4 linked regions of the Stegostoma tigrinum genome follow. The protein of the gene in region 1 purifies or fractionates together with the protein of each later gene. This does not show direct contact. Links are inferred from orthologs where the notes say so. Each region holds a gene or a part of one and is shown on either strand. Other genes may lie near its edges. The genes, in order: kifap3a, kinesin-like protein KIF3C, kinesin-like protein KIF3B and kif3a.

What was found.
Region 2: the proteins of kifap3a (region 1) and kinesin-like protein KIF3C purify together in Homo sapiens (co-immunoprecipitation; 3 studies listed by BioGRID and IntAct, counting the BioPlex papers as one, with this or other methods). This does not show direct contact. The link is inferred for Stegostoma tigrinum from reciprocal best matches to the Homo sapiens genes KIFAP3 and KIF3C.
Region 3: the proteins of kifap3a (region 1) and kinesin-like protein KIF3B purify together in Homo sapiens (co-immunoprecipitation; 7 studies listed by BioGRID and IntAct, counting the BioPlex papers as one, with this or other methods). This does not show direct contact. The link is inferred for Stegostoma tigrinum from reciprocal best matches to the Homo sapiens genes KIFAP3 and KIF3B.
Region 4: the proteins of kifap3a (region 1) and kif3a purify together in Homo sapiens (co-immunoprecipitation; 9 studies listed by BioGRID and IntAct, counting the BioPlex papers as one, with this or other methods). This does not show direct contact. The link is inferred for Stegostoma tigrinum from reciprocal best matches to the Homo sapiens genes KIFAP3 and KIF3A.

What each region holds. Positions count from the first base shown.
Region 1 is NC_081361.1:46,861,333-46,869,019, forward strand, and holds the start of kifap3a (kinesin-associated protein 3a), read right to left. Parts: upstream 3,010-7,687; 5' UTR 2,868-3,009; coding exon 2,836-2,867; intron 1-2,835. Other genes in the region: ntmt2 (N-terminal Xaa-Pro-Lys N-methyltransferase 2), read left to right, coding at 5,285-5,450. UniProt on the Homo sapiens protein: Involved in tethering the chromosomes to the spindle pole and in chromosome movement. Binds to the tail domain of the KIF3A/KIF3B heterodimer to form a heterotrimeric KIF3 complex and may regulate the membrane binding of this complex.
Region 2 is NC_081357.1:131,544,977-131,552,296, reverse strand, and holds the start of kinesin-like protein KIF3C, read left to right. Parts: upstream 1-4,312; 5' UTR 4,313-4,615; coding exon 4,616-5,147; intron 5,148-7,320.
Region 3 is NC_081372.1:26,402,623-26,409,813, forward strand, and holds the start of kinesin-like protein KIF3B, read right to left. Parts: upstream 3,018-7,191; 5' UTR 2,964-3,017; exon of another isoform or gene 2,693-2,963; intron 1,875-2,692; 5' UTR 1,805-1,874; intron 1-1,804. UniProt on the Homo sapiens protein: Microtubule-based molecular motor that transport intracellular cargos, such as vesicles, organelles and protein complexes. Uses ATP hydrolysis to generate force to bind and move along the microtubule. Plays a role in cilia formation.
Region 4 is NC_081366.1:15,192,004-15,199,789, reverse strand, and holds the start of kif3a (kinesin-like protein KIF3A), read left to right. Parts: upstream 1-4,785; 5' UTR 4,786-4,957; coding exon 4,958-4,963; intron 4,964-7,786. UniProt on the Homo sapiens protein: Microtubule-based anterograde translocator for membranous organelles. Plus end-directed microtubule sliding activity in vitro. Plays a role in primary cilia formation. Plays a role in centriole cohesion and subdistal appendage organization and function.

The sequences.
Region 1 (7,687 bases):
TGCTATCAATTATCATTTTGCAAACCACGATTTGGAAATTTACAACGTTGAAGTGTAAAGTGCTGTTTTTAGATGTCCAACATTTCAGTTTTCAGAGAGGAACTATGCACAGACTATCAGAACAGTCTAGAAAGGGCAACAGAATGAGTCTGGCAAAAATGTAAATGTGATTCTGTCCAGTTAAAATCCAGTCTGTAGCATCCAGGGCAAAAGACTACAATCTAAATGTTTCCACTTTTTCTTGCTTTTTTTGTTTGGCCCCAGGTCTCCTACCACCAGATAATCTTTCCATTGTTCGTTATTTGAAAAATTATTTCAGTTATCAATTTCAATATAAATGCATTCAGTTACTTTATAGAAAAGTCAACTGCCTTACAGTGAACACATATCCTGGATATGCATGGTGCTTGTTAATTTCCTTAAAATACCCTACTAAATCTACTTTAGTTTGCAAATATGCTTCATTCTCACTAATATATGAACTTCCAAAGAGCAGTTGAGTCTTTGTACTGAAATTGAAGCTCATGGAATGTAAGGTAATTTGTTGACCTGGTTAATAAATTGGCTGTACAAGTGGCAGAGTGGTGATAATATCAAAAATTGGCACGTAAGATCCAAAGGGTGTATGTTGAGATCTCAATTATACATTGCTTTCAATAATTTAGATAATGTAATTGTTGACATGAAAACAAAACCACGACATTATCAACAATTAAGTAAAGGGTGAAAGAGATTTCAATGCAGATAAATGCAAGTTCATCCATTTTCTAACTAGAAATAGAACAGAATACTCCCTAAATGGTGTAATGCTGTAAACTGAGATGGTCATAAAGACTAGGAATTCCAAATACACATTACTGAAGTGTCACAAACAGGTATCAAAAAGTAGGTAGTAAAGTTACTGGAATGTTGGCATTCATAAAGAGGGTAAATTTATAGAGCCATAAATTTATATCAAGGGTAATGAACACAAGGGGATAAAATTTAATCTATAGTGATAATGGGAACTGCAGATGCTGGAGAATCCAAGATAATAAAGTGTGAAGCTGGATGAACACAGCAGGCCAAGCAGCATCTCAGGAGCACAAAAGCTGACGTTTCGGGCCTAGACCCTTCATCAGATGAAGGGTCTAGGCCCGAAACGTCAGCTTTTGTGCTCCTGAGATGCTGCTTGGCCTGCTGTGTTCATCCAGCTTCACACTTTATCAAAATTTAATCTACACACGCTTTTGTGCTCCTAAGATGGTGCTTGGCCTGTTGTGTTCGTCCAGCTCCAGACTTTGTTATCTCAGATTCTCCAGTACCTGCAGTTCCCATTATCTCTTATAAAAAGACCTGGTTAGGCAACTTTAAGCAGTTCTGGAAACCAGAAGTCAGGATGAATGTGTTGGACTTTGAGGGGCATATCACAGACCTCCCAGAATTGTATCAATGCCAAGAGAGAACAAAGAGAATACATAAACTAATAAAATAAAAACTACAGGTGCTGAAGATCCAGGACCACTAGACTTGAAACATTAACTCTGCTTTCTCTCCACAGCTGGTGCCAGACTTGCTGAGTTTCACCAGGAATTTCTGTTTGTATTATACACACTAAGAATAGGTTTCTTGGATTTTGGAAGTGCTTTGATTACAATTATCAAGATATTAAGTGAACAGATAGGCTAGATTGGAGAAGTATTTTCCATTAGTTAGGAAAACTAAAATTTATGGCATAGTCAAAAAATTCAAACTTTTCAGAAGTGACATTAGGAAATATGTCCTTTTGCAAAGTATGGTAGAAGTTTGGAAACATCTTCCACACGTGGCAATTAATGTTAGATAAACTGTCAATTTAAAAGTGTGATATTTGCTTGTTAGCCAAAGGTATTAGGGATAAGGGGCAAAGGTCAATAAATGGAATTAGATTACAACCATGTTATTACTGAATAATAGGACAAGATTGAGGGCTAAGTAGATTACACCTATTTCTATTGTATTTGTCACAAGCATTAGAATATTTGGTCCTGCTTTGACTGACAGTGCACCAATCATTTGTTGTTACTCAAGTTGAATTGTATAAGCTGTGCTTAACCTGTTATTTATCCATTTGTTGTTTGAACATAAATGTAAAACAATTTTTTAAAATACATATAACAGGTTGATTGCTTTTATTCGACACAAATTGAATACTTTATAGAGAAAGTACTCCTAACCTGGAGTTCACAATCCGTGGTTCCCCATTATCCTCCTCTCCCCATCACAAACAATGCCAAATTTACTGTAAATTCACAAGACGTCACTTCTGTCAATACAGAATTATAGACGACCTGAAATTCGCCAGTTACCACCTGATAATAGCCCGGATGGTAACCACCATTGGTTCTCATCACTCAACGAGCTCATCTGGCGAGTATCCCAATCATCATCACGACAGTGATAATAGGACGCAACTGACCTCTCCAAACGAGGGTGTGGTAGGAAAAGAAATCCTTCTCAGTAAGCGAAGATTCAGTTTAACTGCGAATGATGCTCTCCATTAAAAAAGGGGGGATAGTAATATTAACGATCCAGGCTGACTCATTCAGAATGCATTAATAGAATGTATCTGAGAGCAACCTTGAAACGAACGCTATGGTAGTGTCAGCATCAACAAGGGAGAAGAGTATTATACGCGCTGCACAAATGTCTGTCAAACCCACAGCTGAGAGAGCAGCTGCGAAGTAGACGTTAACAGCAGAATGATTAAGGTGCCGCAGTCACAAAATGCAACAACAGCGACTGCAGGTTCCTGGGCCCAACCCGGTCCTTCCAAAAAAGCAACCACCAACACCCTGCCCCTGTTACAGCACCAACCTCTTCAGGTAGCGAGCATCTTCCGGTTGCATCTTTATCGGCCGCTCCAATTCTGTCTGCAAAAGCAGTTTCTTTGTTTGCTTACTTTACCCAACAGCAAAGCCACCCTCACATCTCCCCGGGTTACCAGAGACAAGTGCAGCCGCCCCACAATCCGCAGCGGTACGCGCGGGCGGAGCCTGCGCTGGAGGGCGGAACTAAACCGACAACGATGGACACTCCGCCTGCAGCACCCCCACTAGGCCAACAACAATAACTCCAGGTCAACGGGACTGCGATCGAAAGAGTCGTCACCAGCAGAAACAGCTTGCATTTACAGAAAACAAATCAAAACGTTCAGAAACTTCGCAAAGGTGCAAACAGAGAAAAGAATGCCCAACTATGAAAGGAAATATTAAATATCGTGATTGAAATCACTCTCCGTGCCCTCATCCATACCTTTTGTCACCTTAAATCACAACTTCGTATGTTCTCCTTAAACTTCAACTCATCCAAAATTTTGGCAGGTCTGGCAGCATCTGTGAAGGAAAAAACAGCGTTAACGTTTCGGGTCCGGTGAACGGATTCTGAGGGTCAACGGACCCGAAACGTTAAGATAATAAAATGTGAGGCTGGATGAACACAGCAGGCCAAGCAGCATCTCAGGAGCACAAAAGCTGACGTTTCGGCTAGGCCTGCTGTGTTCATCCAGTTCCACACGTTGTTATCTCAGACTCCAGCATGGCCAGTTCCTACTATGTCTGAGATTTTCCAGCAACTTTGTTTTTGTTCCTGATTTACAGCATCCGCAGTTATTTCCGTTTTCATCCAAAATTTTGTCGCCTATATCATGTCTTGTATTCATCTATCACCGATGACCTACTAAACTGCATGAAGTCCTGATTGTCCCTCACCTGCAGTCCCTATAGGGTCCCTCCAATTTTCACTTCTGCAAATATACTCCAGTCTGAGAGCTACCCAGGACTCTTCTTCCTTCCAACTCTGGTCTCTTGCTCATTTCCACTTTTTATATCCTACTTTTAGTTCGTATGACTTGAAAAGTGAAGCCCCTAAACTCTGGGATTCAATCTCTTAAATCTCTACTCTTCCATCTATCTCAATTCTCTTATCCTTTTTTAAAGCATATCGTTTCTGATTAACGTTGAGCCATAACTCTTAATTGCCCCTTCTTTGACTGAGTGACAATATGTTTAAATACACATTTAGGAACAGTCTTGAAACATTTTAATAAAGACAGAAAGGTTGTGGGTTAAGGTCCCATTCCAAGGCTTAATCACAAAAATTCAAGCTGACATTCCAGTGCATTCTGTCCTTTGTGATGCTTTCAGGTAAGACATTAAACCAAAATCCTGTCTGTCCTCTCAGGTGGATGTAAACTATCCTCTGGCACTTTTTTTTTAGAAAAAGACCAAGAAAATGGGCAATATGTATCTCTCAATCAATATCACCAAAATTATTCGATCATCATCGATTTGCTGTTTGTGGGGCTGGTAATGTGCAAAATGACTTCCACATGTTCTATTTGACAGTAGTGACTGTATAAAATATTTCATTGACTGTAAAGTGCTTTGGGATATCACGTGGTCGTGAAAGGTACAATAACAATGCTAGTTTTCTTTTACATGCAAGTTGTTCATAATGTGTAGTAATCTTCACAATTCATTTAACAGTAGCTGTAGCACATCATTTATCAAACAAATGAGAAATGTGTTTTCTCTAAGAATAAAAATAAGTTTTGAATAATCTCTCAGACAGGTTATTTGGGTTGGAGAAAATGTAACCGAAGGTTATGATGGTAGAGTTGTCGTCTTAAATGATTAAAATCCACGCGTCTTGCTTTACGAGTTTGCCTCTCCACATTTCCCCAATCTCCCATGTTTGTGAATTTTTCTAATGCATTTCTCCTCTCAAACTTACTGAGCGACCCAGCTCATGTTTTTTTGAAGTTGCTAATTCCTTCACTGTACGAAGGGGAAGTGGATCTCAGTCGCAGATAAATCCATCTCCTTTCACGATGCGTCACTGGCATACATAACACAAATCATTGACTGGGCACTTAGGTTCCCTGTCATCTCACGGAACCACAATTTTCCTGCATAATCTCAGGAAGTGTTTGAACTTTGTACAAACCTCAATGGACCATTTAGTAAGATTCACATTCAGCAAAGTTTTGTGGTCCGAAAGCTTTGTTTTACACCAGGATTTAGGATTTCCAGAATATGCTGAAATGAGATCAATGTAGGCAGAGCTGGTTGGGTAGGAGGGTTGGAGTTCATACGGAGGCGCGTTTTCAGCACCTGCTTGGGGGATCGGAGCCTGATCAGTCCAAGGACTAGCGCCAAGTTGTTAAGAACAGAGATACCGGGAAGTTACACCGTGGGATCCGAATCGCCGAAAATTACCTGGAGAAATAGAGGAAACCCAGCGACATCCCAAACTCTAAAATACAATGGAAGAAAAGGTGGAGTGGAAAAAAGCCCACTATGCTTTTAAGTCGCGGTGGGACAGAACTGACGATGATATGTGCCGCAACAGCATGTCTTTCTTTCTCCATAAAACCATTAGGAGTGACTTCTTTTCCAGTTACCTCTTTCTGTTGGAGCAGTTGCCTTTGGGTGAGTTGGAGTGATGGCTGCCATACCCGTATAGGAAAGGCAGAGTGAGTGAAAATATCGCAGCAAACATAAACTGCGGCTCAATGTTATTGTAAAACGCAACATTTATTTAAAGGGGGCTACGTATATTTTCGGATTCTTTAGAGCATATTGGCTAAGTTTTATCATTCAGTCATTGATTAAAATACCACTCGATTGTGCGGCAGCGTTTCAGCAAATTTAGCCGAACGATTACAGTTTTGAATCGTTACGACACCTTCCACGACCACTAGACCGCGCAAAATGCTTTGCAGCTAATAAAATACTTTTAAACGTGTAATTGCGTATTGGCGTAATGCAGGAAACTGGGCAGTTTTGCGCACAGTAAAACTCCCATAGTCAGCAATATGATACTGAACAGCTATGAGGCGTTTTGTGATTTTGATTGAAGGGTAAATGTTGGCCAATATCCTGAGTCACAACCCATCCATCAAATAAAATCGAATGTATTTACACTAGTGCTTCGATTTGGATGTTTTCTAAATTGCTGAAGATATCGGGCATTTTGAGATAGATTATCACCTACTCCGAAAATCTACTTGGGAAAGGCTTTATGTGTTGGTCATCATATGATTAAATATGGCAAAACTCACTAGGAGTTTATATGAAGCAAATAAACCACAGTATTAGAGCTGTTTATGTTTTCTTCTAATTAAAAGGATGCTTATTCCAACAATGTACATTATTAATAACATTTATGAAAACTACATTACCGTAATTACAATATCACAATATTTACAAAAAATTCAACTTGTTCCATTTAACATATTCCACTTGAAGCAATTGTAAAGGTCGGAATATTTACACGACACATCCCATTTGAGGTAGACACCCAACAGCAAAAGCATTTCAAATCTGAAACTGCAAAAGGCAAACAGATATAACACTCTATATAACATCTTTCATTCTGATGCAGGAATTTTGTGTTCTATGGGTTGTTCTCAGGGCTGTAAACCAAGACAATCATAAACAGTGCCTGAAGAACTATCAACTCAGTAAAAGATGCTCTTTGGTCTGCCCTAAGCTTGCTGGCCTTTCATTGAGGGAGTTGTCCTCAGTTAAATATTGCAGACTGGCACATTCTACGGTCCAGAATTACATGTTGAGAGACACACTAGAGTTGGAGCAGCTGCAGCAGAGACACAAATGGGATAGGTTGCTCCCTGGGTCCTTTCAGCCATAGTGCACCAAAGGGCTGGAAATGGAGTACTTCTTAGGCTGAGCACTGCACAAGGACTGTATGTTGTAAGTCTAATTAAAAGAACGGCTCTCTTCATAAGTCCCATAGCAGATAATGTCTCCATGAAAAAGTAAGAGGGGTGGGAGAAAACTGGCACCAGAATGTTTTTGTGTGTGAAGGTGACTGCACATCAGACATGGTTGGGATTTGTTACTGTTGATTATTCTGTCACAACTGAGTAAACAAACAAATAAGTAAAAATGCTTTTCACAGTCATTGAACATCTCAAAACATTTATCATTAAGGAAGCACTTCCAAAGTGCAAATGGACGCAGTTGCAATGCAAGAAATGAGTCAATTTGCACACCCCTGACAGTTTGATAATGGACAGAAAATGTGTTTTGTGATGTTGGTTAAAAAATACATATCAATATGACACTGAGGATAAATCCCCCATACTTTAGAATAATGCAGTGATCTTTTATGTTCATCCAAACATGAAATTGAGGCCTTGGTTTGACATTTCTTCCAAAAGATAGCATCTCCAATAGAGCAGCAGTCCTTCAGTACTACACTGGAGTGTCAACATTGATATTTAAGCACTGGAGTAGGGCTTGAATCCAGTATCTCAGCAGCAATAGTGCTACCAACAGTATTATAGCAAACATGAGCATAGAGCAAATCACATGGCAACTTCATCTAAACCCCTCAACCAAGTATTGATTACCTTACTGTATTGTATTATTTATTTGAAGTACTTTTTCAGTTTGACCAAATTAGCAGCATTACCACAGTACCTGCAATCGAAGCAAGTAATGCAGAATGTTAATTCATGAGAATGAGCTGCAGCCCAATGGTACAGCATGAATCAGCACTGTATTGACAGGTCATTTTCCATTATAGCCGATTACATGGGATTAACATGCTTATATATAATTTATATTGGCTGCTTTCTATAGTGAATTATGCAGTTCGTTTTTGCTGTGAATACTAAACCTGTTTACATTCTTATGCCACA
Region 2 (7,320 bases), on another chromosome or scaffold:
GGGACAAGGAAGCTTCAACTCCATTGAAAATCAGAAATAAAGTTAAAGGAAAGGAGAACTCAAGAGTTGTTAGTAATGGAGGTAATAGGACCCAAAAAGAAGGTGCAAAAACTGGCGTCAGGGCATATTATCTGAATGCTCGGAGCATGCGAAATAAGGTGGATGAGTTGACGGTGCAAATCATGGCAAATGGGTATGATTTAGTGACCATTACAGAGACATGGTTATAGGATGGTCATGACTGGGAGTTAAATATCTAGGGGTATCAAACTGTTCGGAAGGATGGACAGGAAGGTAGGGGAGGTGGTGTTGCTCTGATTTTTAAGGATGTTATCAGGGCAGGAGTGAGAGATGATACAGGTTCTACTGGACAAAACATTGAATCCATTTGGGTGGAAATTAGGAATAGCAAGGAGAAGAAGTCATTGATAGGTGTGGTCTATAGGCCAACAAATAATGATATTGTGGTGGGGCAGGCAATAAACATAGAAATAGCTAATGCATGTAAAGATGGTGCAGCAATTATCATGGGGGATTTTAATCTACATATCGATTGGTCAAATCAGGTTGGTCATGGCAGCTTTGAGAAGGGGTTCATAGAATGCGTCCACGATAATTTCCTTGAACAACATGTAATGGAACCTACGAGGGAGCAAGCTAACCTAGATCTAGTCCTATGTAATGAGAAAAGAATAATTAATGATCTCACAGTTAGGGATCCCCTCGGAAGGAGCAATCACAGTATGGACGAATTTAAAATACAGTTGGAGCATGAGAAGGTTAAATCCAGTAGCTGTGTCCTGTGCTTAAACAAAGGAGACTTTGAAGGAATGAGATAGGAGTTAGCTAAGCTAGAATGGGAGCAAAAACTTTATGGTGGGTCAATTGAGGAAGAGTGGAGGACTTTCAAAACGATTTTTCACAGTGCTCAGCGGAAGTATATTCCAGTGATAAGGAAGAACTGTAGGAAAAGAGAGAGCCAGCCATGGCTGTCTAAGGAAATAAAGGAAAGTAGCAGATTGAAAAAAAAACGCATACAAAAAAAGCAAAGAGCAGTGGGAAACTAGTAGACTGGGAAATCTTTTAAGGCCAACAGAAAGCCACAAAAAAAGTTATAAAAAAAAAGTAAGATAGATTATGAGAGTAAACTAGCTCAGAATATAAAAACAGGCAGCAAAAGTTTCTATAAATATGTAAATTATAAGAGAGTGGCAAAGGTAAACATTGGTGTTTAGAGGATGGGGAGGCCAATTTAATAACTAGGAATAGGGAAATAGCTGAGACACTAAACAGTCATTTTATGTCGGTCTCCACAGTGAAAGACACAAATAACCTGCCCAAAACTAATGGCAAGAAGGTTAATAGCAGAGTAGGTCATGTTTACCTAATTTGGTGGAATTCTTTGAGGACATTACTTGCATGGTGCACAATGGGGAACCTGTGGATGTGGTGTTTCTGGATTCCCAGAAGGCATTTGACAAGGTGCCAGACCAAAGGCTGCTACATAAGATAAAGTTGCACGGTATTACAGGTAATGTATTGGCATGGATAGAGGATTGGTTGACTAGTAGAAAGCAAAGAGCGGGGTAAATGGGTATTTTTCTGGTTGGCGGTCAGTGGCTAGTGGTGTGCCTCTGATCAGTGTTGGGGACCTCAATTGTTTACAACTTACATAGATGATTTGGAGTTGGGGACTAAGTGTGGTGTGTCAAAATTTGCAGATGACGCTAAGGTGAGCAGTAGAACAAAGTGTGCAGAAGACACGGAAAGTCTGTAGGGGGATATAGATAGTCTGTGAGTGGGCAAAGGTCTGGCAGATGGAGTACAATGTTGATCAGTGTGAGGTCATCCATTTTGGTAGGAATATCAGGAAAATGGACTATGTTTTAAATGGTGAAAAATTGCAGCACGCTGCTGTGCAGAGAGACTTGGGTATCCTTGTGCATGAATCACTGAAGGTGAGATTGCAGGTGATTTTAAAAGGCAAACGGAATTTTGTCTGCCATTACTCAAGGGATGCAGTTTAAAAACAGGGAGGCTATGCTGCAGCTGTATAGGGTCCTGGTGAGGCCACACCTGCAGTACTGTGTGCAGACTTGGTCTCCTTACTTGAGAAGAGATATACTAGCACGGGTCGGGGTGCAGAGGAGATTCACTCGGTTGAATCCAGAGTTGAGAGGGTTGGATTATGAGGAGAGACTAAATAGACTAGGATTATACTCATTGAAATTCAGAAGAATGAGGGGAGATCTTATAGAAACATGTAAGATTATGAAGGGAACAGATAAGGTGGGGGCAGGGAGGTTGTTTCTGCTAGCAGGTGAAACTAGGACTGGAGGGCATCACCTCAAAATAAAGGAAAGCAGATGTAGGACTGAGATCACGAGGAACTTCTTCACTCAAAGGGTTGTGAATCTGTGGAATTCCCTGCCCAGTGAAGCAGTTGAAGCTGAATGTTTTTAAGGCAAGGCTAGATAAATTTTTGAACAGTAAAGGAATTAATGGTCATCGTGAGTGGGCAGGTAAGTGGAGCTGAGTCTCAAAAATATCAGCCATGATCTTATTAAATGATGAGGCAGGCTCGAGGGGCCAGATGGCCTACTCCTGCTCCTAGTTCTTATGTTTTTATGTTTCTTTTAACAGCTTAGAGCTGCACTCTTCAAGTTTCCTGCTTATTTGTTGTCCTCGTAAATGGTGCTAAGTTCACACCTGAAGAAGACCTAATAGCACCACACCCCTTCAACCCCATCACTTCAGAAAAGTGAGAATAAGGAGTTGCTGAGTTGAAGATGGCAGCCAAATAAAATTTGCTGCAACACCTTGGGCACTACTCCAAGGGCTACAATCATCTTTCATTCTTAGAAAACCTCCTTCACTGAAGTGTGTATCTCTTAGTAAAGAATGGATAGAATTTACCTTCCAATTAATTAGTGAATTTCCCTCCTGTGTCATTGTTCTTGCTGGCTTTTGCCCTATGCATCAGTCACAGCCAAAATCCCACAAATATGCCTGGATTGTTATGGAGATTTAAATTGACTGAAATGCAATATTCAAATATGTTTCACTTAATGCTTCTTTGAATCTTAATTATGATATATAGTATAGACACATAGAGTTAAGGGTTATATTATAGCCTTGAATTACAAGCCAGCCTTAGTTCTCTTTCTGCACAAGGACAATAAAAGGAATTGAACTTCACTGTCTCCTTTGGTTCTATCAAGTGAGATAATGTAAATGTGTAAGTTTGCCAAAAGTCCTGAGCCAGGATCATTGATCCTAATTTCCCAGCTCTTGCATCCCCCACATTCAGCACTATTTGTGTCAGAGACAAAAACACTCCATGTTCAAATTCAGCAAATTCTCGGGTTGGGCTGAAAAGTAGCAGTGACATCTGTGCTAGACAATGCCAGGCAATGACTGTCTTCAATAAGAGATAATCTAACCACTGCTCCTTGACATTTAATGGTTTACCACTATTGAATAACACCCCTTGCCCCACTAGTAGAAAGGGATGAATTATTGTCATTGGCCAGATGATAAATAATGACACGTATGCTGCTAGTGGTGTTGAGTTGAGGTATACATATTGCACTTTTACAACCAATGCAGTTATTAACAATAAAGCATTTCAGAATGTTATGAAAGGACTTTCACTGTGGCCAAACTGGAGATGCTTTATAAAGTACTGACAGGTAATAGTGGTACAGATATAAAAATCAAGTCCTTCACATCTGATGAGTCATTGATCTGCTTGCTGGGGTCGATATGAAAGATTTAGAAGAGCAGAGAATGTTCATAGTGTGCTGCTGAATATTTGTCCCTGATCCTACATCACCACATACAAAAAAAATATGGTTGTGGTGATTTATTTGGGGCATTTGGAGCCTACCTGGATGTAAACTGGCAGTTACATTTTCCGACCTAACAGCTGTGACTGCACTCCAATAGGCAATACTAACGTGGCACAGAGCTGCTAGTTGTCTCCATCATGAACAAACGGATCAACATTTCCATCCATATCTTTATAAATTGAGAATTTTGTTTGTCATTGTCAATGGGGTTTTTGAAAGTCTAATTTCTGGAATATTCCGAGTTCCTGACTGTAATTTATAGCATCAACCAACCCATGGCCTGCCATTAGATTGGCGCAGTAGCACTGTGGAAAGGGGAGACAAGTCATTCGCATTTGTTTTCCAAATCTCCACACTACAGCAATAACTCCATTTCCCGACAGACTGTGCATGTCTAGGGCGGACCCAGCCTGAGGATACTGAGCACGTTTGGGGCGTCCTCCTGTGGCGTTGTCTGTACCTGCACCGTCTCAGTCAGGCTGTGCTCCAGCCCCAGAGCCTGAGATCACACAACCTGCAGCATCCCAATGACAAAGGCGTTGTCAGCTGCAAATGGGAGAAGCTCGCAGCCAGCTAGCCTCCGCTGTGTCTCCACCCTGTCCGGCTAAAGGACAGCTCGGTCTGGGACTGTAAGCTGCAGGCTGCAGCCCTGAATGTGATGATGCGGAGCGGGTGCATTGTTTTATTGCAGAGACAATACAGCCAGTGAAAGGTGCCAGGCTGAGGGAGACTGCATTCCGAGCAAAGCCAGAAAACAAGACAAAATGTCCAAGGCGAAGGTTTGTGAGTCGGTGAAGGTGGTAGTTAGGTGCCGCCCAATGAATGGGAAAGAAGAAGCGGCTGGTTGTGAACGGATCGTGGAGATGGATGTGAACCTGGGGCAGGTGTCTATCCGAAACCCCAAAGGCAGTCCCACGGAGCTGCCCAAGAGCTTCAGGTTTGATGCGGTCTATGAGAGCAGCAGCCGGCAGAGTGAGCTCTATGATGAGACGGTCCGCCCTCTGGTAGACTCAGTGCTGCAGGGTTTCAATGGCACCGTGTTCGCATATGGGCAGACAGGCACAGGGAAAACCTACACCATGCAGGGAGTGTGGGCCGAGCCGGAGAAAAGGGGCATCATTCCCAACTCATTCGAACACATCTTCACCCATATCTCGCGATCCCAGGACCAACAGTACCTGGTGAGGGCTTCCTACCTAGAGATCTACCAGGAGGAGATCCGGGATCTCCTCAACAAGGATGAGAACAAAAAGCTGGAGCTGAAGGAAAAACCAGAAACTGGGGTTTACATTAAAGGTAACGGAGAAAGCGGTTACTTTCAAATTGTAAACAAATAACAGTTTTATTTAAAGAATTAAAAACCCGGAGCGTGATTAAATGTGTGACGATTTGAAAGGGAGATTATCTCCCAGGCTGTGATGGAGGCCAGGAATTCTGTTTGTTTTCTTCACGAGGACTGGGAGGGAGGGCGTGTAGAGAGGAGGGGTCGGTATCATAAAACAATTGACATTTTGTGGAGAAATTGAAAATCAAATCAAAAATTCTACTCCTTAAATATAAATAATCTTTTTTTTCGCTTCAGGACAATCCTTAAGCTCTGAGACAACTTTTTTCAGCTGCAGTTTTGCAGGTTTTTGCATTATCATTAGTGGGTACGTAACTCATTCGGACAGAAATGGTAATAAAAGGGAAGAAAATGAGTCAAACATCTGGTCAGTCAGAAGACCTGTAAATAATTATATTCAGATGATATCCAGGTCCCAGCACTGGAATAATGAGTCAAACACTAGAATATACTTTGAGCTCAGCCTGCTACCTCAGACATGAATCAGCTGAAAAATACAATTTGAATAAGTTGGTGTTCACCACTGTCATTTCCTACCAGCTAGACTCTTCAATATTGCTCTTTGATGCCTTCAACAAAATGCAAATGTCATTATGAATCGGCATTGGCTCATTATCTTCAACAAAACATTCCAGTAATTGGTAGCACTGTCAAATAGTTTGAGGAATGGCTCAGCTGACTGCCAGAGGTCATTGTGCACATCGGTTCAAATGACACAGGTAGACAGAGGGATGGGATCCTGCAAAATAAGTATAGGGAGTTTGGTAAGAAGTTAAAAAGCAGGACCTCAACGGTAGTCATCTCCAGATTACTCCCAGTGCAATGTGCAAGTGAGGATAGAAATAGGAAGGTAGGCCAGATGAATGCATGGCTGAGGAGCTGGCTTCGGAGGCAGCATTTTCGGTTCTTGGATCATTGGCAATTCTTTTGTGGGAGAGGTGCCCTGTACCTCAGGGATGGGTTGCACTTGAACCAGAGGGGTCCAATTTCTTCGTTGGGAGATTTGGTAGTGTTGAAACTATTTTGGTGGGGGTTGAAGGGGATGAGAATCTGAATAAGAAAGGGTCCATTGAGAATTTGGGGAGAATACATTAGCCATCGAGAGCAAGTTTACTATTCAGGATAGCTAGGGGTACAGTAAAGGGAGGGAAAAGACTTCCAGTTTAAAATGTATTTATTTCAATGCATGAAGCCTCATTGGTAAGGCAGATGAGCTCAGAGCATGCATTGGCTCTGGGGACTAAGATATTATGGCCATAATAGAAACATGGTCAGTGTTCCAGGATACAGAAGCTACAGGCGTGAAAGAAGTACAAATAAGTGAGGTGGGGGTAGTTGCCCTTTTGATAAGGGAGGACATACCAACAGAGCTTAAAGGAGATATTCTTAAGGGGTCATCAAATTAGGCCATATTGTTAGAACTTAGAAACAAGAAGGGATGGTCACTCTGTTGGGACTGTATTATAGACCCCCAAATAGCCAGTGGCTACTCGAGGAGCAGGTATGTAGAGAGATTCCAGGTACCTGTAGGAATGATAGAGTCACACTGGTTGGAGATTTTAATTTCCCCTGTATTGACAGGGCCACCCAGTGTGTAAAAGGTCCAAACAGGGTGGAATTTGTCAAATGTGTCCAAGGAAGTTTCCTAAATTATTGTGTAGAGGGCCCTATTCAGGAGGGTGCATCACTGGGCCTCTTCTTAGGAAACAAGGTCAGGAAAGTGACTGAAATGTCACTCCAAGAGCACTATGGGTCCAGTGGCCATAACTCTCTTAGCTTTAGCATAGTTATGGAGAATGATAGGACAGGTCCCCAGGTTAAGGTGCTGAACTGGAGCAGGGCCAACTTTAGGCCCATTAGGCAGGATCTAGAAGAGGTCGACTGGGTGAGTCTTTTTGCTGGAAAAGGAATGACCTGGCAAATGGAAGCCTTTTAAAACTGTAATATCAAGAGTCCAGGGACAGAATGCCCCTTTGAGGGTGAAGGGAAAACTGGAAGATTTAGGGATCCCTGGCTAACAAGGGATGTCGAGGCTTTTGTCAGGAAAGTGAAGAAGGCTTACATTGAGTTTAAGCTATGGGGTTCATGAATCCCTAGATGACTATAAAAAGTGTAGGAGCACAC
Region 3 (7,191 bases), on another chromosome or scaffold:
CTTCACTTTTAAAATGAGAGAGAGATACATTTGCTATCTTCCTACCAAATTAGGCCATCCCTGAATCAATGGAACTTTCAAATTTTAAAACCAATGCATCAGCAATCTCACTAGCTACTTTCAAAACTCTACGATGAAGTTCAATGGGATCCAGGAACTCAGTGAAGATTGTAATCACCAGAGAAATAATATCGAGTAAACTGTTGCAGCTGTGGGCTGACATTTTTGCCGAGTTCCTTCCTTCCTTTTATTTCGTGATAACTTGCTGCTTCTGGAATGTTGTCCGTATCCTCTACAGTGAGGATGGATACAAAATACAAACTTAAATTTTTCTCAGGAGTCTTTAACTCCAGAGTTATTCCAACACAAATCAAATTTCATCTCAAAAATATTGTTGCTCTGTTCAAGGGGTTAAACATATTTGTTGGATAGAGGAAGACAAACAAAGTAACCATTACAGTCACAACCATTAGTATTATAGAAAACTAAATTAAATCATAGAAAACTATTTTTGGCCATGTACAAATTTTGCACTCTCCCTCCATTGAAAGAGTAGTCATTTAAGAAACAGAGGGAAATCTAAGAGGAACAAATTACAATGAACCACACGTGAGAATCTTGATTTCATACTAATTACACTCCCAGGACTAAGAAAAGGCCCTGAGAGAAATAGGAATCAGAGAACTCAAGTTAAATTCTTTCACTGTCTCCTACAGTTTCAGTGCAAACCAAATAGAGCCAATATAACAAGTGAATCAAAATGCAAGAACTCATTTGAGCTCAATTTCTAAGGAGAATCAGTAGCCCTCACAGAAATCTGGGAAATATATAATAATAATTTCAGTGAAATTAAGGTTTGTCGATTCTGTGCCTTCACATTGCAATGGAAATAGTTGTAAGCAGTGAGGGAATTCCTTGTCCCATTGCGTAATATTAGTTTTATTTTATGAGTAAATATGAAATCCAGGATTCCTGTGGTGCAGGGGTCATGTCCCTACCACAACTTCCAGTTATTTTCTAATTAACCTGTTCAAAGATGTTATTACACATCTCTGGAGCAAGTGGAAATTGAACTCAGGCATCCTGGTTAAGTGATAGGGACACTGCATGCACCACGTAAGTCCTAGGATCTGGACTGTATATTTCCTCATGAAATAAAACAAAAAATACAGTGGGACAAGGAATTCCCTCATTGCTTACAACTGGTTCCATTGCCTATAGGTCAGAGCAGGTAGAGATAGCAGATTTCCTTCTCTAAATGACATTAGTGAACCTGGTGGGCTTTTACAAAAACCAATGATAGTTTCATGGTCATTGTTGGAGTTCTAATTCCAGACTTTTGTTTGAATGCAAATTTCACCTTGTGGAAAGATTCAGGATTTCAGATAAATGTTCCCCCGAGTGTGACATGGATCTCTGAATTACTACAGAAGCAACAAAACCACTAAGATCATGTCTCTCTGTTGAACACCCTATATATTAACGTTTGGAAGACAAGATACAAATCTGGCTTCACACTGCAACAGAGACAATGTAGTTTAATCCTTGCAGCAATGCCAGAGTCACAGGACGTCTTTTTTAAGCTTAGTGAAATCACTACATAGATTCTTAAAACTTTGACTGATATTACATTGCAAATGAAAGAAAACTGAAGAAGTTTTATAGGAATAAGCTGCATGCACTGCAAATGAAGACTGTGCACTGAACTCATTTTCAGCCATGCTCCCAAGATGAGCTTGTTTCCAGGGAAACCTTAAACTTTATGTTACTACGATAACCAGATATACGGTAGAGTTATACTCACCTCTGTGCAACTGCTTTTTCAATTACTGTCACGCAGCCATGAATAAGAACTCAGTAAACCATGAGAGTGCCTTTAAAGTAATTCAAACATCAGCATAGTGCATTTAGATAAACATGAACATATCACAAAGTACATTTTAAAAAACTTAGAATTTACAATATATTACAGCAAAAATAACTGTGTGTACTGGAGTAATGATTCAAAATTCAGTGTTTAAAACATGTAAAACTGGCTAACAGTAAACCAAATTACAACAGTAATAGAACGACAAAGGGAAACAGCAAAGGACAGGCGCTCCCTGTACCTAACACTCTCACCCATCACTCCTACCCAAATGTTGCTCTCTCACCACACCCAAAGCGAGGCAATTGTAAGACCATCATTCACCACTCCCATCACTCTTGTACCGGCCACTTCATTCTTCATCCCTTAACAACGTAATATTTATGGACAAGCCTACCAGTCCCCTCATCTCCACCTGCTTCCCACCCTCCATACCCTACTTTTCAAACACATCATCCCTGAGCCAGATGCTCTTCTCAGAAATTCTCCTCAGCTGGTCTCTCCGACCACACTTCATTACATTTTGATTTCATCTTCCCAGTACAGGTCGGCATAACTCCTGGACTAGACATTCCTCCTTTACTCCTGGGGCAAATACCCTCCCCGTTCACATCCACAAATTTCCAGGGACGGACTCCCTCCCTCCCTCCCGGTTCACATCCACAAATTTCCAGGGACGGACTCCCTCCCTCCCGGTTCACATCCACAAATTTCCAGGGACGAACACCCTCCGTCCCCATTCACATCCATAAATTTTCCGAACCGGATACCAGCCTTCCACATTTCCCGGACCGGACACACCATGCTGGCCTGGTCTAGCCACACCTTTTGGCCGGGCTCTGCAGCGTGCCCCACTCTGCTGCCCCGCATTCACCTGGGCTTCCCGTCGGCTGCCGCCTCTCCATCACCAGCGGCCTAGCAACGGACAAACAAGACGCCCGGCCGCCCAGCTGACACAGGCAGCGATCGCCCTCTCCGGAGCCCCGGACAGCCGGATCGCTAAATCCGGCCCTGAACACCCACTTTGCCCCGAATCGGTCAGAGCGAGCAGCCTCACTCGGGAAGGAGGCGGGTCAAAGCGTTTCTGCGGCTCTACCTGCTCCTCAGCTGCGGTCAACCATTAGCGCAGGAGACTCGGCGCTGGCGACACTGTCCCGGATGAGAAGGAAAACAAGGAGCTGGATTCAGAGTCGGAGCCGAAACCCTGAGGAGGATTCCACCCGGAGCTGGAGCTCTTCAAGATTGCTCTGATCACTATGCTCTCCGGCCAAATGACACACTTTCTAACAAAGGACAACAGTTGCCTTTTCTAACGCCGCCTCCAAGCCAAAAAAACAGCAGAGATGAGCTATCCCAGTGCTATATATAAAAACGCTTCCCTCTTTAACTGCAACACAACTCAATTTCTTCACTTGGAAAACCCCAGAGGCTATTTGGCCCATCAAACATTATGACCGAGTGCAGCTCTCCCTTTTTTAAATGTAATTCTATGCAAAGGTTCTATTCTAATAATCATCTGCTGGCTTCTTGAATGCCTTGATTAAACCTGCCTCCACCATACTTCCAGGCATTGCATCCCAGACCCTAAATTGTCACTGTGAAAGAGATTTCCTCACACTGAATCTGCTTCTTTTGAACATTATTTTAAGCCTATTAGTCTCAATTCTTTTACAAATTAAAACAATTTCTCACTCTGTACTCTGCCCAGTCCTCTCATAGTATTTCAATCATCTACCTAACTTGCCTTTTAGCTTTCTCCTCTCCAAGGAAAACAATCCAAACTTCTCGAATGTTACATCAAAACTGAGATTTGTTATTGCTGTAACTATTTGTCCTGGTGGCTTAAGAAATTCAGTAAGTCCATAAGGACCCTCACCATAGAAAGCATACTGTCTGGGTGCATAACAGCCTGGTACAGGAGCTGCTCTGCCCAAAGCTGTAAAATAAACTACAGAAGGTTGTGTGTATGGCCCAGGCCATCTCAGATACCAATCTTCCATCTATGGACTCTGCTTATCCTTCTTCTTGTGCGGAAAGGCTGCCAGCATCATCAAAGTCACCAGCCACCCTGCTAATGCTCTCCTACAACCTCTTTTGTCAGGCAGAGGACACAAAAGATTGAACACATGCACTAATGGGTTCAAGAACAGCTTCTTCCTGCTGTTATTGGACTGAAGAATCAATTCTCCAACTTCAAATAATGTTGATCTTATTAATGTTGATCTTGCTTTGCACACCACCTATGCAGTGTAATCTGTATGCCTCACTGTCTAAGCACCTTATGATTTATATCTAGGACATGTGGAACAATCCCTCTTCCGCTGCTACACTGGCACTATCCCCCACCTCTTCCTCTGCTACATCGATGACTGTATCGGCATTGCCTTATGCTCCCACAAGAAGCTTGAACAGTTCATCAACTTTACTCATACCTTTCACCCCAACTTCAAATTCACCTGGACCATCTCTATACCTCCCTCTCCTTTCTGGACATCTCTGTCTCCATCTCTGGTGACTGCCTCAAAACTGACATCTATTTTAAGCCCACAGCTACCTAGATTACGCATCCTCTCACCCACCTTCCTACAAGAATGCAATCCTCCACTGTGTCTGCTCCAAAGATGCGGCATTCCACTCCTGAGCATCCCAGATGTCCTCTTATTTCAAGGACCGTAACATCCCTACTTTGGTGGTCGAAAATGCTCTCAACGACATCGCTTGCATTTCCTGAATCTCTGCCCTCACAGCCCCTCCCTGAATGGAAACAAAGACATAATCCCCTTGTCCTCACATATCACCCCACTAAACTTCGTATCCAATGTGTCATTCTCCCCCACTTCTGCCACCTACAATCCAACCTGACAACCAAAGAGATATTTACCTCCTCACCCCTACTTGTCTATCATAGGGACTGCACACTCTGTGAGTCCCGCGTCCACTCCATACTCCCCACTAACCCCATCACACCCAGCACCTTTCCTGTGCTACACCTACCCCCTCACCTTCATTCAAGGAACTAAACAAACCTTCCACATTAGACAGAGGTTCAACTGCACATCCATCAATGCGGTCAATTGCATCTGCTGCTCCCAATGTGGATGAGACCAAGCGGAGGCTTGGAGGCTGCTTTATAAAGCACCTGCATTCTGTTTGCGACCAACGACAACACTATCCAGTTGTGAACCATTTCAACTCCCCCTCCCACTCCCTGGGTAACATGTCCATCCTGGGCCTCTTCCACTGTCACAATGATGCCACCCAGAAACTGGAAGAGCAGCAGCTCATATTCCACCTTGGGAGCCAACAGCCTGATGGCCTAAATGTGGATTTTACCAGTTTTAAAATCTCCCCACGGCTGGCCTCACCCCATGACCAGTCCTCCCTCTCATTCCCCACCTCCTTGACCTGACACAACCCGTCCATCTTCTCTCCCACCTATCCCCTCCTCCCATGTCACTGGCCAATCTCCACCACTTCCTACCTGCACTCACCTATCACCATCCCACCTACCTTCCCAAGCCCCAACCCTCCTCTCTATTTACTTGAACTCCCTTCTCGCAACCCCAACCTCGATTTCTGAAGAAGGGTCCTGACCTGAAATGTCAACTTTCCTGCTCCTTTGATGGTGCCTGGCTTGCTGTGTTCCTTCAGCTTCACACTGGGTTATCTCTGACTCCAGCATCAGCAACTCTTATGATCTCTGTGTCCTTGGTTGCTATGATCTGTGTGTACTGCTTGCAAACTGAGCTTTTCACTGTACTTAGGTACACATGACTACAATAAATCAAATCAAATCAAATCAAATCAAACTTGTGTAACCCTCTTCTGCACTCTCTCCAATTCATTCACATCCTTCCTGAAGTGTGGCTCCAGAACACAATATTCCAGCTGAGCTCTAACCAGTGTCTTAAACAAGTACAGTATAACCATCTTGCACTTATACTCTGAATTTTATATTTTATTAATAAAGTTTAGGATTCTATTTGCTATATTAACAGCTCTCTGCTTGTCTTGCCACCTCCAATGACTTTACGCACATATATACTCAGTTTACTCCACTCCTTTAGATTTGGGCCTTTTGTTTACTCTAAATTACCCTCTTCTTTGTACCAAAATGTATCACACCTCTGCAGTGGACTGCCATCTATCTGTTCACTCCAATAACTTGCAAGTCTCCTTTTGATCTCCTCACAGTTTACAAAGCTTACAAGTTTTGAATCATTCACAACGTATGAAATTGCCCTCTGCACACCAAGAGGCAATTGTTTATTAATGCATATCAATAAAGCAAAGGTACCAATTCTACTGCGTTTAGTAAACAGCTAATCAGGAAAGGTAGTGCATTAAATACCTAAGCTAACACATAAGTAACTGTTAGACTGACCTTCCCAACGTAATGCACACACACCCAAATATACCTCCCCCTGGCCTTTATCATTATCCTCTGAGACCCAATCCCTTTCTCTGCTCTGAGCCCAATGCCCTTTCCCATACTGCTAGACCAATTCCCAAACTCTTCTGTCATTAGACCTGAATCACTCTGCCCCACTGCCAGATCAGGATTCGACACCATCCCCCAGAACTTGACCCCTGTTTTCCTGCTCTAGACCTGAACACATACTGCCCTTCCATCAGATCTGATCTCCTCATCACCTCCTGCTGAACCCAACTCTGCCTCTCCCTGACTCAACACCACTGCCCTACCTCCCAAACATCCAAACATCACTCTCTTGCTGCCAGCCCCACCCCCATTCCCAGGAACCAATATCCTCTCATCCCTCTGGGACCAGACACCACAATCCCTGCTCTATGCCGGCCTCAATATCTTGCCTTGACCCCGATCCTACTTAAAACACTCCATCACTTACCTGTCGTCCTTGCCACCTGGTACCCTCCCCTCCCCCCACACTACACTTTCATAGGAGCTGTCAATGTCACTGTCTGTGTTGCTGGACCTTTAGATTTCAGAATAGGACAACGCAAGTGTGGTTTACCTATCCCTGACTGTTCTGAGTAATGGAATGATGGAAGTATGGCTCCATATTTCTTATGGAGCCCTATTCAGAATCTCCTGACAGAAAGGTGGACCTCTTTCACTGCAAGTATTAAAGGAGCAAAGTGGTAATCTGTTTGAGATTGCTACTCCTTAGAAATTCCCATCCATTTATAGAAAAGCAAATAGAAGAATCTAAGAGTGAACATGCAAAGAGATTTGCTGCCAGCATTAAAGTGAATCCTAAAGTCTTCCATGGACACAAAGGAAAAAATGTTGCAAAAATGGGAATTGGGGACAATTTGGGACTAAAAACCTTATTAACATATAG
Region 4 (7,786 bases), on another chromosome or scaffold:
AGTTACACAGGAACATCACCAACTACAAGTTCCTCAGCTAGCCACTCACCATTCTGACCTGGTGATGTCTCCATTCCTTTGTTCCTTCAGTATTTCCATTACTTCATTATTACTGGGTTGAAATCCTGGAACTACCTTCCAATAGGATAAGAGTGTATCAGAACTGCAGCAATTTAAGAAAGTAGCACACTACCAGACTCTCCAGGGTAAATAGGAATAAGCAATAAATGCTGGACCAGCCTACAAAGCCCAGATTTCCTGAATGATTTTTAAAAAATTGTACTGTGGTCCAGTGCATTTTTAAACTGACCCATAGCCAGAGAAATCAGGCCTGACAGAAAATTGGCCAAACTAAATTAAACAGTAGGCAGTAGCTATTAATTACAGAGGAGAGTGGAAATCAACATCAAAAAGTTTAGAAAAGTTCAGGGGAACCAGCAACAACCAGTCTGAAGATTGATACATTTCCAATACACAATCAGCTATTTTTGGCATCTTGACTGCCTGAACATATGCACTTTACACCTCCTGGCATTACAACAATGAATGGTGTTGGTGTGACCTCACTGGGTGATTGAACCCAGCTCATGACCCCATACTACATATAGCCATACAACATTCGGAAAGTCAAGGGCAAGGAAAGTTAAGAACACAGACCTGGATGCCACCCCATAAAGGAAGACTCAACCTGGTCTAGCAGTGGAGCTCCAACCAACTGGAGTAAGAGAGAAGACCTGCCCCTACCTACAATACCCACCTTCATGAAAGGGAACCAGCCCTGCATTGGCGAGGAAGGAGAATCCAGCTCAAATACCTGGATCGTTGCGGGTAATATCCTTTCTCAGATGATAGACAAATAGTTAACATAGTGGGAGTTTGAGAAATGCTCATGTGGTGTTTTTAATAGGGAAATGTATTGTTAACAAAATTGAGCTGAACTGCAAACAGAATCTGTGTCTCTTTGTTTGCTTCACTGACAAGAGGTCTTGGGTAAAATGTTTTTAGTACATGAACTGGTCAAAGTGTTCAAAGAATGGACAACAACAATTTTGAGTAACATGCATATTGTTGTATTTCTATTTCTTTTTACTGTAACAGTGTATTATTATGTGGACTGCATAATATGAAAAGACATCTGTGACTCACTTGGCAGTTCCCTACAGCTAACTTTTAAAGCCGTTCTGTGCTCTCAGCAGCCATCAGTGTAAAATCTGTGCTTAAAAAATCTATACTGATGTAGATGTGAGAATATTTTCCCTCATGACCTAGATTTGAGTCTACATCAGAGTCCTGGTGCAGTTGGGAAGCTAAACCTGTGTGGTTTCCCACTGACGTAGCCAAATCTCAACTATTCCATGAGTGTTGACTTCATATTGCAAATACAAAATATCTAAGGTCTCTAAAGCATGAGAAATACTTCCCCATTTATCCATAACTCTAGAAATGCATGATCTTCAGAGTGATTGGGCTGATTCAGCAAGATGCTTTCGAACAAATAGACAGCAAAAAAACTATCTTGTCAGTCATTACACAACAGTTCAGGACCTGTAAAAGACTCTACAAGATTCTAGAAGTTAGCAAACAACAGAATCAGATATACTTTTGAGGTCAATATAATTTCTCCAAATTTTGCTACATGTCAACATTTCAGAATATTTTGCAATAAATAAATGCTGAATGGTTTTCACCCAGTAAATCCAATTCTATTGACTGTCAGCATGATTCAGCACAAAATGTCCAAGCCTTTTTGTACATAAATTCAGCATGGTCAATAAGATAAAAACAAAGTACTGTAGATGCTGGAAATCATAAAGATAAAGTGCTGGAAATACCCAGCAGGTCCCCGGTAATAAACAAGATTTAATGTTTTGGCTAAAATCACTGTCAATTCACATTCAAGTTATGAGGTGAAGTATGACACTATTCACGACTACATTTCCTTGACAATATGTTTATCTGAAGAAAGCAGCATCACACATCTCCGTTTTTTACCTCCTAAACCTCCATGCCTCAGCAGTCTTTATTTCTGTGTGTTGAAGTACTTAATGAAACAGTAATTTTTACCTGTGTATCCTTATTAATATTATTATTGTTATTACTACTATTAGCAATGATGCTTTTTAACCCACTTTGAATAAGTCATATTTGACTTAAAGCATTAATTCTTTCTCTTTCCATAAGGGCTGCTAGACTTGCTAGTGTTTCCAGCACTTTCTGTTTTAATATCTGCTGTGTCACTGTGGTTTACAGTTATTATATATTTGGATGAGTAATCCAGAAGCATTGATTAATAATGCAAAAAATCGCATTATGTGAATTTTGTACTAGAGTACTGGAAATAAGAATTGGTTTCAAAAAAAGTAATTCTGAAATTCTGCATCTAAACGTACAACTAATTCTAGATTTACAACTGCATGAAAATCAAGGCTAATAGGCCATGATATGCTGACTTTTGGATAAGCTGTTTAATTTTTGCTTCATGGTGAATCCAAATGATCCCATGACACTATATCAGAGGAGATTTCTCCAGTGTCCTGGTCAATATTTATCCCTAAATCTGCATATCAGAAAATGATTTCATCACAGTGTTGTTTGTGTGAGTCTGCTGCAGCAAATTGTAGCCTGGTATCTTCATGTGCAAAAAACAAAATTAAATGATTGCTAATAATTGAACAAAAACCTACTAACTCAATCAGAGCAGTACAGTGGATCAGTGGCTAGCACTGCTGCCTCACAGCACCATGGATCCAGCTTCAATTATACCCTTGGGGGAACGTGTGGTGTTTTCACATTCTGCCCGCATCTGCGTGAGTTTCCTCTGCATTATCCAATTTCCTCCTACAGTCCAAAAATGTGCAAGTTAGATGGATTGGCCATGGAAAGTGCAGGGTTGCAGGGACTGGGATACCCTTCAGAGGGTCGGCGTGGATTTGATGGGCCAATTGGCCTGCTTCTACACTGTTGGGATTCCATTCTTCTCATCATGTAAACATAACATATGGAGGAACAACTTCTCTGTCTTCTGTATACTAGAATCATAAAATGATTTTTTGAAAAATGAAATTAATTTATTCTAAATAATTAACAACAAAATACCACATAAACCGAGAAGATCACAGGCCGATTTCCTGATCTGTACTAAGGCTGGATGTTGTATTCAACCTGGATATAATTGGGTTGCAATTGGTTTCAGTTTTCCTCAGCAATGGAAGGAGAAACTTAATCCATGATTTCTTTTTACTTTCAACAATCCCTGCTGGAAATGTGCTTGCATGTGTTATATAATGACCAGATTGAATTTTCTTAAGATTATTCCACTGGTCCATAAGCTGACAGGTGATCAGACTCAGGAGGTACTGAAGAGCTAGTACTATTATATAGTAAATTTGAATGAACAATTTGGTGAAAAGTGAAAGTCAAATATGCACCTTTGTATGTGTCAATGGGCTCATTGACAGTTATCCCTTCAGATGTTCAATACCAAATCTTTGGAGAGACTGAAAAACTATCTAAGGTCACAAACTGGAGACCTTGGCAGTGTTTAACAATGGAAATGAATGACATATGTGTTTCAAAGATAATGTAGCAGAAGGAATTAATGCTCACACTCCACCCATATTGAACACCACTCACTCTACTGATGTCACACATAGTCTGTAGGTCAAGACAGTTGCTTGCCAGCCCATTTAAGAGGAGAGTTAAGAATTAACCTTATTGCTGTGGGTCTTTAATGCATCTCAGCCAGACCAGATCAGGTATGGTTGGTAGATTTCCTACCCTGCAAGACATTAACTTATAAGATTGTGTGCTTTTTTACAGTAACTGGAACACCCACTAACATCAAGAAGAAAAATTCCTTGCAGAATCTAACTTTGCCATCTTTATTTAGAAGTGATAAGCAAGGTTGTACAAAAGTGCTCGGCCCTGAGAAAAATCCATATGTAAACTGACGTAACTCTATATGTGGAAATTAGATCTGCACAACTGCATCTATCAGAATAAAAATGAACCAATTGAATTGAAAAACCAGTAAGAGCATCATGATCAACGTTGGAATGATTACTGTTCTTAGACAAAGAAATTATGTGACATATTGTTTTATTGAGTATAGAATTATCATCTTAAGAGATCACACTATGTTTGAAAGCATTTAACATAAAATACTAAATTTCATTTAAAATAATGTAATCAATAATTAAATTGATTTGACAAATCTAGCACGAACTATACCACTGGTTGAAATGGGCAGGTCGGTTGTCTTGCCTGTTATGTGTGGCCGCTAGGATTCAAATCTACCCCAGTGTCAAGGAGAGGAAATCTCTTCAGCCTACTGCTTGCGTTTATTTGAAATGAGTTTCAGCAGTTTCACTCTTGTTGGCACAAAGCCATATTTGCAAATCTTAGTCAGAGAAACCACAGGCACGAGCGATTATGATAGATGCAGCTGTAAGCTTGTGGTTGAAATGGAAAGTGCTTCATCCCCCACCATCCTTCATAAAGTTATACAATTAAAAAATCAATGTATACAGATTAATTGTGTCTTACCCACTCAGCTACCTACACAAATCTCCCTCTTCCTCTTTCTTCTGCGGGGCCATTGTTAGTTCTGCGGCTTGTTCCCTCTCTGTCTGTCAGCGGTGGCCATGGAAACCAGACGCGCGCCATCTTCCATTCTGATTCGTGGCGGCGCGCAGAGCCCCGCCCCTTCCCCGAGGCGGGCCCAAGCTATTCGACACCGATTGGCCAATGCGGACCGTCAATCAAGTATGGGGGTGGACCGTCCGTGTGTCGCTGGCAAGTGAGCATGCGCAGAGCGGAGTCGAAAGGGAATCTCGGGGGTGGTTAGGCTCGAGCTCTTTGGGGTGAGCAGGAGGGAGTACTCGTGCAGGGGCGGCGGCGGCGACGACGGTCGGAGTCAAATTTGAATGTGCTCTCGAGGCCCGTGGCGACGATCAAAATGCCGGTGAGTGAGTTAATGTGAGTCTGCAGACAATAACGGCGGGCTTTGGCCGGATGGAGATATTCGGACTAGGGAGTGGGAGAAAGGACTCACGGGCCTCTGTTTAACCGCTGAGATGGAGCCTGGGTTTCAGATCTCCCGCTGGGGAGAGAGACCTCAGTCTGAAGCAAATCTGGACAATTAAAAACTCAAGCGCCCGGTTTGGTACCAGCCGTCTGCGAGCGGGGGAGGGGTGCGGGTTGGGGATGCGGCAGAAATTGGGTAGCACCCTTCGCCGTTTATTTTTCCTCACACCAGTTAAGCCAGATTCTTATTCCCCACCACGTCTGGGATCGGACTGAAAGATCGCTATATCCCTCCACTCTGATCCTCCTCCATTTATTTAAGGGAGGGCGGGCGGGCGATCAGTTGTAAGTGTACGAACCGACTCCGCCCACCCCCACCCTATCCCGCCAGGAAGGATCATCGTGATGGATTAGGTTCGAGCAGCGGGGATCTGGAGGTAGACCTGAATGTGATGTAGATATCACACATAGAGACACGCGCAAAAAGCTTGTGAGCCAAGCCCAAGCCGTAAACAGGAATCTGCTGTAAACAATACGTGGGGGTTAAGCCTGAGAAGGCTGATGACGCCCGCACCCATGTGTGTGTGAAACGGAAAGGTCTCTGAGCTTGCACAGGGTGAAGGGTTGCAATTCCAGGGCTGATGTTGCACCAGGTTTGGACGGATGGCCATGGCGGAAATATTGCCAGATGACAGGGCTTCCCTTTCCCTGAGACCCGCTACATACAACCTCCGTTCCTTCCAGTGCAGTTTAATGGGAGTGGTTCAGACTCCCCCGTCTGTATTTTGTTGCTATTCAACAACTTGTGCTAGATTTGAAGGGACAGCTACGATGGAAGATGCAGTTAAACGTTTTCTGGAGATTTGGATCCGTTATGAAGTTGGGTTCGTAAATGTCAAATTAGTACTTGCAAGTGTATAAAAAATGGTGCAGGGAAATTTACCAAAGTCCTGAATGTGACATTAAGCTTACAATGCCAGAATCCATTCACATAAACTGTTTTCCATGCTAAAGTAAATATAAGAACCAAAAGAACTGTGAATGCTGTAAATCAGAAACAAAAACAGAAATTGCTGGAAAAGCTCAGCAGGCCTGGCAGCATCTCTGAAGAGAAATCAGAGTTAACAGAATCCCTACAGTGTGGAAACAGGCCATTTGGCCCAACAAGTTTTCACTGCCCCTCCAAAGAGCACCCCACCCAGACCAATCCCCTACCCTTGCATTTCTCATATCTAACCCACCTAACCTAAACATCCCTGGTCACAATGCGCAATTTAGCATGACCAATACACCTAACCTGCGCATCTTTGGATTGTGGAAGAAACAGGAGCACCCAGAGGGAATCCACGCAGACACGGGGAAGAATGTGCAAACTCCACACAGTCGTTCGAGGGTGGAATCGAACCCAGGTCCGGGGTGCTGTGAGGCAACTGTGCTAACCACTGAGCTACTGTGCTGCCCCAAAGAAAGGTGAGACTCCTTTGAGCTGGAATTGAATCGACGACCTTTCAGGTCTGGAGACCCTTCCTCAGAAATGAAACATCGACCTGAAATGTTAACTCTGATTTGTCTTCACAGAGGCTGCCAGACCTGCTGAGCTTTTAGAGCAACTTCTTTTTCGAAAAAGAAGATGTAATTAGTTGAATCATCAGAATCACGGAGTAACCAGTACTTTGCTTTTGTACCAGCATTTAGAGTCTCAATGCAGCTCTGACCTGGACTGGAAGTGATCTGAAAGTCAAGTCCCTGTCACCATCACTTCCAGTCAAATGATGCCTTAATTTAAAAACAGAACTTGTTTGTTTTCAAATTTCTCCACCATTGGCGGCTGCACTTCAGTGTACAATTTCAGCTGCATACGTTGAAAATGGTGCAAAAGACCAATAAAGGTGATTTGGAGCTATGTGACCCTGTTATCTTATTTTCATGTTCTGTATTTATATACAGTAATTTAACTTGGTGTGCTTGGAGAGTGGCTTTTTAATATGCAGGTTAAAGGAAGGATCAAAATTACTCTAATGGTTCTCTTATGCTAATTAATTATTGTAGATTGTACTTTTATTGGAGCTTGTCCTTGTTTGTAATGGTGTCAATAAATTTCAGTATAATTAAATTTATGATATCAACATGAATCTGGATTTCAGGAATGTCTTTTCTTCAATTTCAACATTTTTTTATTTGTAAGCCTGTGAAAATCTCAGCTACAAAAGAGAGACGTTGTCACCAAGGTTAAAACCATTACTAACACAGCATCTGTACTACTCAGTCTTCGTGATGTCAACACAGAGTAACCTACATTTACCTCAGTAATATAAAACAAAGAACTTCAGTCCTCAAGATCTGAAACTAAAACAGAAATTGATGGCAAAACCCAGCAGGTCTGGCAGCATCTGGAAGAAAGCTAGTACTGTCAGTAACTAAAAGAATGTGATATTTATGTAGAAGATGAGGTTTGGGGTTGTGCGAGTGAAGAAATGTAGCCCAGAGAGAGACACATGAAAGGGGTAGGTAAGTAAGGAGATTATGAATAGCAGGCCAGGACAGAAGGAAAGCTGAATAAATAACAATAAGAGCTAGGATTAGGAGAGAATGGGTGAGCTGTACTGAAAACAACTCCTCTTTTAAGGATGGTGCATTGAAATGGCAGGAGCTGGAAGCTTTGGGTCATCTTTGCAGACAGATCATAGGTGTTCTGCAAAGTGGCCACCCAGTCTGTATGTTTGTCACCCCAGTGTAGAGGAGACCACAGTGTGTCCAGTTA